2 linked regions of the Arabidopsis thaliana genome follow. The protein of the gene in region 1 interacts with the protein of each later gene in a pairwise test. Each region holds a gene or a part of one and is shown on either strand. Other genes may lie near its edges.

Region 1 (3,957 bases):
TATTTAGTTAAAGATTTCTGATAGATTATTTTGCAACTCTTTCTTATAAAAATCGATGGAGCAAACGCTTTAAGTTAAGTAGGCATACATATAATCAACATAGACATGTTGAATTTTGAAAATTTCAAGTTTACACAGTTTGATTAAATATGTAAACCGTAAACTGCATCGATTCATAGATATCAATATTTTACAATGCTTTACCTAAAAAAAAAAAAAAAAACGAAGTAACATGGTTTCGACGACCAAATAACTGAATAAGTCATACGGGATAACGATCAATTTAAAACACAAGTAATTATGGGACGAAATCTTATATATGTATGCAATTGACCATGTATCTAGATCGACCACATCTAAATTGTACGTTCCATTCTACTGTTTTGTCCGTTAAGAAGACACACGAAATTATACATATTTGTTTGTTTAAAACATACAAGTCACAATCGGCATATAAAACACGATGTATCGTAAAACAGAATCATGTGTACGTACATGCAAGACCATCTAAATCAACGTCGTCATACGTACCGCGTTGCTATAGCCTATATGTATAGTAAAAATTCAAAATAATAATCAAAAGTAAAAGGTGAATAATAATGATACAATCTGAAACGTAAAATCACCAAATTTAGAATATTTAGTTAACGTACGATAACGTATCAATAAAACTGTAACTAATTTTGTAGTATTATGACAAACGTAAATTCGCAAATTTATTACAAAAAAGAAAAACAGCTTCGTTGCAACCAAATTATTGATAAGTAATAAACATGTCGAAGAAATTGAAAAACACAAAATAACTAGTGATGTTGTGGGTCGGGTCCTCCTGGGCTTAACCGCTCTGGAGATTTCCCATGGCTACCCGCAGCTTGATCATCCTCTACAGTCGGACTCGTAGCCTCGATAGAAGGGCTTAGGCCTCTCACCTTCACCCCGACCCGAGCCCCCTCAAGAGGGCGGCTTCCAGCGGCGATTGAGGATAACAGAAGAAACAACAAGAAGCAGAAAGTGAAGCTTAACTTAGCCATTACAGATACAATTAATTAGTTTCTGTATATATAGAAAAGCAATAGAAAGAGAGATAGATTGTTCACGTGGTGTGTATGAGTGTATATGAGGAAAGAAGAGATCTCATGAGGGTTTCTATTTATAGAGTTTTATTTGAATTCTAGTAGTGCGCGAGATAGGTTTAGCTAGCTTAAGGCTTGAGTGCAAGCATGAGTTGTCACCAAGGACGGTTTTTCTCGTTGCCTACATTTTTCTTCATCACCAAAACTTCTATAATAATCATATTTAATCTGTAACCAGCTGAGCAAGTGACTCTTGCGACTTGCAAAATGCAAATTGGTACTTTGAATAGTACAAAGAATGATAAAGATCGCCGCATTACGGTGTACTACACATATTTAATACGATCGACATCTTAATATATAGATATTCTGAATTGTGTTAGGGCCTAGGATTGGCCAAGCCCTTTTTTAGACTCATGTGCATTCCATTTTTAAACATTTGTCGTTGATTTGTTAGGTGGCCTTGTCTCTTGGATGGATCTTATGCTAATCCCCCCCCCCCCCCCCAAAAAAAAACTTAGTGAATATATTGCAGTGATTATTATGCATTTTCCAGTGTAAATCTATAGAGTAAATTGAATATTTTATCTGAGATTATATCATTTTGAACATAGAAAAGTTCCCAATCGAATCTTTTTTGAAAGAAGATCTTTTGTCACCGTGTGTTAGTAATTGTCAAACCCTTATTGAGCCATGCATGCAATCATCCATTTAAAAAACTCGGTGATTTGTTAGGTCACCACGATTACGAAATAAAAAGCAACTAATCTCGAAACAAGTATTTACACGATCAAAAGTAAATAAGATTTATCCCTGAAATATGGATTGTTCTATCCATTTATCCCCGAAACAAGAAGGATAAAGTTCTATCCATTCATATACGATCGTTTTACGTTAGTACATCATCAAAACTAAAAAAGATATGAATCTTATATACGTATTTACATTGGACCGTCAAAAAGAGCGAGATAAGAGACGGCTTCAAGTGCTAATTATAATCACATAATTATATATGTCGTAATGTCGATAAAGCAAAATTATTCAATACCAAACCTTACACCATTTATAACTCGACCGTCCCTATCCAGTGACATTATATATTAGTATATGTATGCGCATAGACTAATATTATAATACGTGTGTCGTGTGAGAGAGTTAATAATACGAGGTAATGATAATGGACGAGGAGGGTGATTCATGAAAGTCCAATAAGATAGAAAAGGAAATATGAAAATATGAAGTCAAAGGCAGAGTGCACTTATGGGTTTTGTATTGGTTTAGTATTGGTGAGTCGAAGGTTTTCACTCTTTTTCTATTTACACATTTGACTCATCAGGAGATTTCATTACAAGAAGAATATTCAAAAAAGTTTCAACCATCGAGAAAAGGTATTATAATCTGTAATACCTTTTGTCAGAACGTGTGGATAGTAGTGTAGTTTAAGATTCCACTAAGTCGAGGTTAAGTGATATATTTAAAAGGATAAGTTTCGACCCAATCACACTTCTTACTCTGTAATTATGTTTTAACTGATGAAGCAGTACTTATCCAAATCCGTATTTCATTGTAAATGGTGTCAGCAAATTTGTTTATCCAAAAAACTATGCATGCAACACATCAGTGAATACATATATATGTTACGTTTATTTTGACGGTGCATTTTAGTGGTGACATATAAAAGGAATATACTTTTTTTTATATAAAAAGTGATATTCAGTGTTTTTTTTATTTCTGTGAACAATTATATGAGATCAGATACCATAAGTTTGGGAAAGAATTAATTGTTCTGGAGATTGAAGAAAATGCTCTTATCCTCTATGTGTCAAATGCCACTCTCTTTATTGCGGTCTTCTCTGTTTTGCATCAGTATGACTTTCGATATAAATCCCATTTCTAGATAAACTTGTTATTTGACTATCACTTGTTAAAAGGATAAACTTGATTTTTTTTTATTTTTTTTTAAGTTATTAGGAGTTGTCGAAAATAATCAAGAGGGTTTTGTGTGTGTTTAGAGTTAATATTATCTGAAAGAAAGATAAAATGGTCCAAATTTTATATTTTCAATTCGGACCATCACTATTATTGGACAGGCCTTGATCCTAAAGACAATTTCTGTAGCTGGATTGTCATTGCAATCACTAACTTTATTTTCATCTCAAATTTATAGTTAAAAACTGTATATAATATTCAGACCCATTCGTTGAAATCAGAGATATAATAATGATACCAACGTTGAACAAATAATCGGCAAGAATCAGAACTATTGAGAAACCAGTATACTCATAGAAATAAATCTTGTGTGGTATATGAATGCTAATGGCAAGGTATTGATATATACCCATAATTAAAATAAAATTAAAAGGGATACAAAATTCGAAAATGGAAACAACATTTTCCAAAATATAAAAATCATCTGAAATTTCTACAAGAGAAGGTTGAAGAAGTAGCAGGCTTGAGGGAAACACAAGATCTTCTCTTCATGCATTTGGGATCAAGTGATAGAGATGAAGAAGAGGGAATGTGACGGATCAGAAACGAAGAGGACAATGGTGATGACGAGACAAAGAGGTTGGTGATGTCTTGAAGAGGCTTCCTAGATTTTTTTCTTCTTATTCTGATTTGGGTTTTGCCTTTATCAATGGATGAGGAATCCAGAGATTTGACAGCAATCGTGACCATCTCTGAGGGTGAGACATTCTCTTTGTTGTTTTCTTGAGGCTTTGAATCTAGAACCGCCATTGATGGAGTAGATAGAGAAAGGGAGAAAGAGAGAGAGAGAGAGAGGGAGAGATGTATGGATTTGAGGATGGAAGGAGGAACTGAGAAGATGTATATGAAGTGTGTGAATAGGAGGGACTTTGAAGCAGATTTGGAAATGACGGAT
Region 2 (5,997 bases), on another chromosome or scaffold:
TGAACATCCTCGCCGGATGGTCACCGTTCAGCAGCCCTAGCCTCCTCAGATCCGATCCAAGACGCGTCCAATTCAATATCATCTCGGGAACCTCCATGGCTTGTCCTCACATCAGCGGAATCGCCGCTCTAATCAAGTCCGTTCACGGGGACTGGTCACCGGCGATGATCAAATCAGCAATCATGACGACGGCGAGGATCACTGACAATAGGAACCGACCGATCGGAGATAGAGGCGCCGCGGGAGCTGAATCGGCGGCCACAGCGTTTGCGTTTGGAGCGGGAAACGTGGATCCCACGCGAGCGGTAGATCCCGGGCTGGTATACGATACCTCCACCGTCGATTATCTCAACTACTTGTGCAGCTTGAACTACACGAGTGAGAGAATACTCTTGTTCTCCGGCACTAACTACACGTGTGCTAGTAACGCCGTCGTTTTGAGTCCCGGTGATTTGAACTATCCCTCGTTCGCGGTCAACCTCGTTAATGGCGCGAATTTGAAAACGGTGAGATATAAGAGGACTGTGACTAACGTTGGGTCACCGACTTGTGAGTATATGGTGCACGTTGAGGAACCAAAAGGTGTGAAGGTGAGAGTTGAACCAAAGGTGCTCAAGTTCCAGAAGGCCAGAGAGAGGTTGAGTTATACGGTGACGTATGATGCAGAAGCTTCGAGAAATTCGTCTTCGTCTTCCTTTGGAGTTTTGGTTTGGATATGTGACAAATACAACGTCAGAAGCCCAATCGCCGTGACGTGGGAATAAATTTCGCATCTATTGATTGCCATTTTCATATTTATTATATACCAAAGAAACTTATTGAACAAAAGCTTACCCTAAACTTGTAAGAATTTGTCAATAAATCAAAACATCTCTTATTTACTATAATTTTTTTACATGAATTTTCCTTCTCTGTTGCAAGACCAGTCTACAGTATATAAAAAGCTGTTACAAGAGATCATAGCATTCGCTTGTCACAGATACCCTTCAACTTAATATATAAAAAGCTGATTAAGTCGTAAAACAACGATTTCTTGGTAGATATGAGTCTATGTAGTCATGATTATTACAAATATAAAAACAAATCCAATGCATAACAATAAAACAACGCAAAAGAAGATTCTGCTTGATCTTCTTTCCTGTCCTATAAAGAGTTGTTGCTAGATGAAGAACTAGAGAGAAAAAGATTCAGTTTTAATTTTCCACCTATAAATTGTTCAAAACATAAACAACAATAAACCCAAATGACAACGCAGATCCAGAAGACCCCCATGTAGAAAGCAAGTGAGTTCCAAGAATATGGCGAGGAAAGAAACTTACAATTAAAGGGAAGAACAGAGCCTTATCTTTAGCCACTCTTGACCCGTTCGAGTTCTTCTTCAGCTGTTTTTAACTGCAAACGCAATGTGTGTACTTTCCTCTCCAGCTCCTCTACATTGCTCCTGCTAGTGGTAGGATGGTACGGCGTCAAGAACTTATGTGAAAACGCCTTTAAGGCTTCAACCCCTGTCACCTGTGATCCAAACATCCACAACAAGTGTAAATCTCAGGATGTATATTATATAAGGCTTTAGTTTCATTTTCGTCTTGATCATGTTCCTTCTCATCTATATTGAATGTCATGCGTTCTTACCTCTTCCGGAAGCAGAGGAAGCTTTGTGATATTAAAGTCATCGTATAGCATATAAAACTGATCAAGATACTTCTGTTGCATCCGCATCCTTGCTCTGAGCAACTTGGACTCCACATCTACAGAAGACAAGTGTAGATAATTCGTCAAATTTGTATGTAAAACAAGTTCAAAACGAGAAGATAGACACGACAGCAAATAAATAGGCACCTTCGTCGTCGTATAGTACTTGGTTGATGATAATGTTATGCGTGTCAATCTCAAACTTGGCGAGTTCCTGAACAAGTCTCTCTGTTTCATAGAGAGACAAGAACTCGGGGATGCAGACACAAACGAACGTAGTCATATCCTACGTAATGGAGCCAAATGTGTCAATTTCTTATCTTAAAATGCAGAGTTTGTTAGATATGTATCAGAATTTTCACTAATGCAAATGAATGCTGTCAAACCGTATGCTACAGAACAATGTGAAGAATCTAAAACTAAACTTCACGAACAGAGTTAAGAAAACAGTCAATGAGTACTGAAAATAGCAAAGAACTTAAACAATTGAAAAAATGTTACCGGGTCTTTGAATTGCCGATTTACTTGCTCAATCACATCTTTCAAGCCCTCAAGTCTTCCCAGCAAAGCATCCTCTCCGAACTCATCCTCCATGCCAAACATACGGCTCATCTGCATTACCAATCAGTTCCATGAAAAATCAGCCAAAGAAGAAACCAAAGAGCAATATCTGTTGCCAAGCAAACTGAATTTGACAAGCTTAAAGACATGCCTGAGTCATCAAGCCACCAAATCTACTCTTCAATGACATCAACTTCGAAAGTCCCTTTTCTAGTGTGGCCGGAAACTGTAACAGGCGGAGAGTATGTCCAGTAGGAGCAGTGTCAAACACAATAGTAGCATAATCCATTGTTTGCACCAACCTAAGGAAACATAAACATATCAAAATTTGACTGTGATAATACATGGATAAAGGCAGATGATTACTAGAAGAACTAAATGGCTATTTACTTCAACATCTCAGCAAAACTCATAGCCTCATCGATTCCAGGAATCGCATTTGCCAAATCAGAGAATAAACCATCCATCCCGTCTGTACCAGCCATGTCATCAGTTTCAACGGTAGGATCTACCTCCTGAGAAAAGCAAACAAGATTCACTCACTATCAAGAGGGAAGGAGTGTGAATCGTAACCATTTGCTTATAGTATGTGTATATATATACATATACACACAGACACAACTAAGAGCTTCAAGCTTAGAAGAGTAGCCATAAAGTCATCATCAAGCCTGTCTATTAGAGGCGACCCAGAACCACAAAAAACAACTTTTTTTTTTTTTTTTGAATTTGGCATAACTAGCCATGAATTTTAACTACAATAGACAAAAATTCGATTTGATTTGGGGACATCAAATCTTCTTCACAATCCCCTTCCGTATCAAGAATACAAATTGGCGTCCAAATTCCAAACCTAATCCCCAAAATCAGAGTGGGCATATGATAAGAAAGGCACAAATCAACCGTATTTATGCAAGTACTAAATCTGACTTCAAAATCAAAATTGATCCATCAATCTGCGGTTTGAAATTCGTGAATCAGAGAACCCTAATTCCCAATGAGATTAAAATCCAGGAGCGAAACTACCAAATTCCCTCTAAAATCTAGCACGATCTAGAACAAAATCGGAGAAAGCTTACCATGGCAAAGAGATTAGAGAAACCTTGAACCAAAGTGGGAGATTTAGTGAAGCGTTGCTGAAAGGCATCACTAAGATTGTGAGCAGGATCGGTGGAGATGATGAGAACGGAGGATCGAACACTGGCGAGACAAATTGCGAGAATTGAACTGCATGTCGTCTTCCCAACACCTCCTTTACCTCCGACGAAAACCCATTTAAGAGACTCTTGGTCCAGAATGTTCTGTACTGTCGCCTCCGGCAAATCCGCCGCCATTGCTAATTCCTTGCTCGTCTCTCTTCCACTAGTCTCAATCTAAAGAGCTCCTTGTTAGATATTTGGCGTACGGAAGAGTTTAACTGCGGCGAGAGACTTTTAACGCCGCCCGGTTCAATATTTTGGTTCTCGGTTTTGGGATATCACAGCAGTCTTGGTTTGATTTTTTTGGTTATCGTTTTTCACTTGTTCAATTTTTCTTTTTTTGTTAAAAATTTAAATTTGGTGTGTTTAAGTTCATAAACGCTAAATAAGCCCATACAAAAGCCCACATAGATGAAGCCATTACGACAGCGTATTGTGAGTTACGATTGAAAACCCCTCTCTACTCGGTTAAACCCGTCGCCGGCATATTGATCTTCGCCGGAGGATATGGCGATTTCAGAAGAAGAAGCCAAACTCGAAAGGTTCCTAGATTGGCTTCAGGTTAGATCCGGATTAAGTGTTGTTTTTCAGTCCTGATCTGCTGCTCTATATCATGGCATTTTGTGTTTCGATCTAATTTCATTCAGGTGAATGGAGGTGAATTAAGAGGCTGCAACATCAAATATTCTGACTCCCTAAAAGGATTTGGCATATTCGCTTCCACCTCCACTCAAGCTTCCGATGGTATAGTATTGTTCTTACCATTTCTTGCTGGGTTTTTTTCCGGGGAATATGTATGGAAAGTTGATATTGAATTCTGATTCAGCTCTGGAAATTTTCAGAAGTTTTGCTTGTTGTTCCGCTTGATCTGGCCATTACCCCTATGAGAGTTCTTCAGGACCCTCTCCTGGGCCCTGAGTGTCAGAAAATGTTCGAACAAGGACAAGTTGATGACCGCTTTCTCATGATTCTGTTCCTCACTTTGGAGCGTCTTCGTATCAATTCTTCTTGGAAGCCGTAAGTTTTTTTTTTAATCTCTTAGCACACATTTACGTAAGCTTAAGGGTATTCATCTGTCTAGAAATGATATGATAGGTATCTTGATATGCTTCCTACTCGATTTGGCAATCCTCTTTGGTTTTCTGATGATGACATCCTTGAGCTAAAAGGGACTAACTTGTATCACGCAACCGAGTTACAGGTCTCAATCTTGATCATTTATTCCTGTCTTATCATATCGTCCTTAAAATAGCAACCACATTTTCTCTTTTCATTTATTAAACCCAATAACCATCGTGTATTCATTCTCAGAAGAAGAAGTTGCTCTCGCTTTACCATGACAAGGTGGAGGTCCTGGTGACAAAGCTTCTTATTTTGGATGGCGATTCCGAAAGGTTGACATATTTACACTACTTTTAGACCAAATTATTGTTCATTGATAATCATATTTTGTTTTCTCTCTTCGTGCAGCAAGGTCTCCTTTGAACACTTCCTCTGGTATGTTTGGTACTGGTGTTATTCCTTGTTAGTAGAACCAGACTTTTGTGTCTTGTAAAGGGCTGCTTAGTGATCTTGCGACTTTTTTCAATTATGCCAGGGCAAACTCTGTATTCTGGAGTCGCGCCTTGAATATTCCTCTTCCACATTCTTTCGTGTTTCCACAAAGCCAAGATGATACCGGGGAATGCACATCAACAAGTGAGTCCCCTGAAACGGCTCCAGTTAATTCTAATGAGGAAAAAGGCAAGTCATTAACGTCGGTCTGCTGAATTCTGTGTGAAATGCCTCTTTTTTAATTATTATTATTCTATCATGTAACGACAATTTCATGGGTTTCTTCATTTTCTGATGGGTAGAAATTCAGGCTCAACCTGCGCCATCTGTAGGATCCGGAGATACAATATGGGTTGAGGGGCTTGTTCCTGGCATTGACTTTTGCAACCATGGTATGCCAATCTTTGTTTCAAAAAGACTCTATTATCAGTTTCTCCGTTCCATAATGTTGATATGGTTAATGAGTATATCCCAGTGTGATGTGATATAATGACCTATGGTTATGGCAGTATAGATTTGAAGCCTGTGGCGACTTGGGAAGTTGATGGGATCGGATCAGTATCTAGGGTTCCTTTCTCCATGTACCTTCTCTCTGGTTGGCCAAATATTTGTTTGTGTTACCTCTCAGCTTTCTACAATTTTTCAATCAAACAATACAGAACATTCTTTTTCCTCTCTTCTTTTTGATCTGTATGCGGAAAACTAAGTGCTACAATTCTGTAAAGCAGTTGCTCAACGTCCTATCCCAAAGAAGGAGATCTCGATCAGTTATGGTAACAAAGGAAATGAGGTAAGATGTTTTGCAGCTATCTTGTACAACTATATAACTTGTCTCTTGGTAAAAAATCACATCTAGCCCTTTGTTTGAGTGATGTGCCTTCTTGCTGAATGCAGGAGCTTCTTTACCTGTATGGCTTTGTGATAGATAACAACCCAGATGATTATCTCATGGTAATATTTACATCCATCAACAGTTCCCTACCTTTTCAACCAG

What was found.
Region 2: the proteins of CLE2 (region 1) and AT1G01910 interact in a two-hybrid assay, tested with the Arabidopsis thaliana proteins (one large-scale study listed by BioGRID).

Annotation. Positions count from the first base shown.
Region 1 is NC_003075.7:10,209,166-10,213,122, reverse strand, and holds CLE2 (CLAVATA3/ESR-related 2), read right to left. Parts: upstream 1,547-3,957; 5' UTR 1,032-1,546; coding exon 804-1,031; 3' UTR 671-803; downstream 1-670. Other genes in the region: AT4G18501 (uncharacterized protein), read right to left, coding at 3,483-3,812; AT4G18500 (uncharacterized protein), read left to right, coding at 3,712-3,760, 3,824-3,957.
Region 2 is NC_003070.9:312,248-318,244, forward strand, and holds AT1G01910 (P-loop containing nucleoside triphosphate hydrolases superfamily protein), read right to left. Parts: upstream 3,844-5,997; 5' UTR 3,585-3,843; coding exon 3,330-3,584; intron 2,769-3,329; coding exon 2,644-2,768; intron 2,556-2,643; coding exon 2,405-2,555; intron 2,305-2,404; coding exon 2,194-2,304; exon of another isoform or gene 1,979-2,193; coding exon 1,840-1,978; intron 1,749-1,839; coding exon 1,633-1,748; coding exon of another isoform or gene 1,625-1,632; intron 1,513-1,624; coding exon 1,348-1,512; 3' UTR 907-1,347; downstream 1-906. Other genes in the region: SBTI1.1 (subtilase family protein), read left to right, coding at 1-764; AT1G01920 (SET domain-containing protein), read left to right, coding at 3,957-4,010, 4,097-4,193, 4,292-4,466, 4,545-4,650, 4,761-4,843, 4,920-4,946, 5,047-5,209, 5,314-5,395 and 3 more. UniProt on the Arabidopsis thaliana protein: ATPase required for the post-translational delivery of tail-anchored (TA) proteins to the endoplasmic reticulum. Recognizes and selectively binds the transmembrane domain of TA proteins in the cytosol.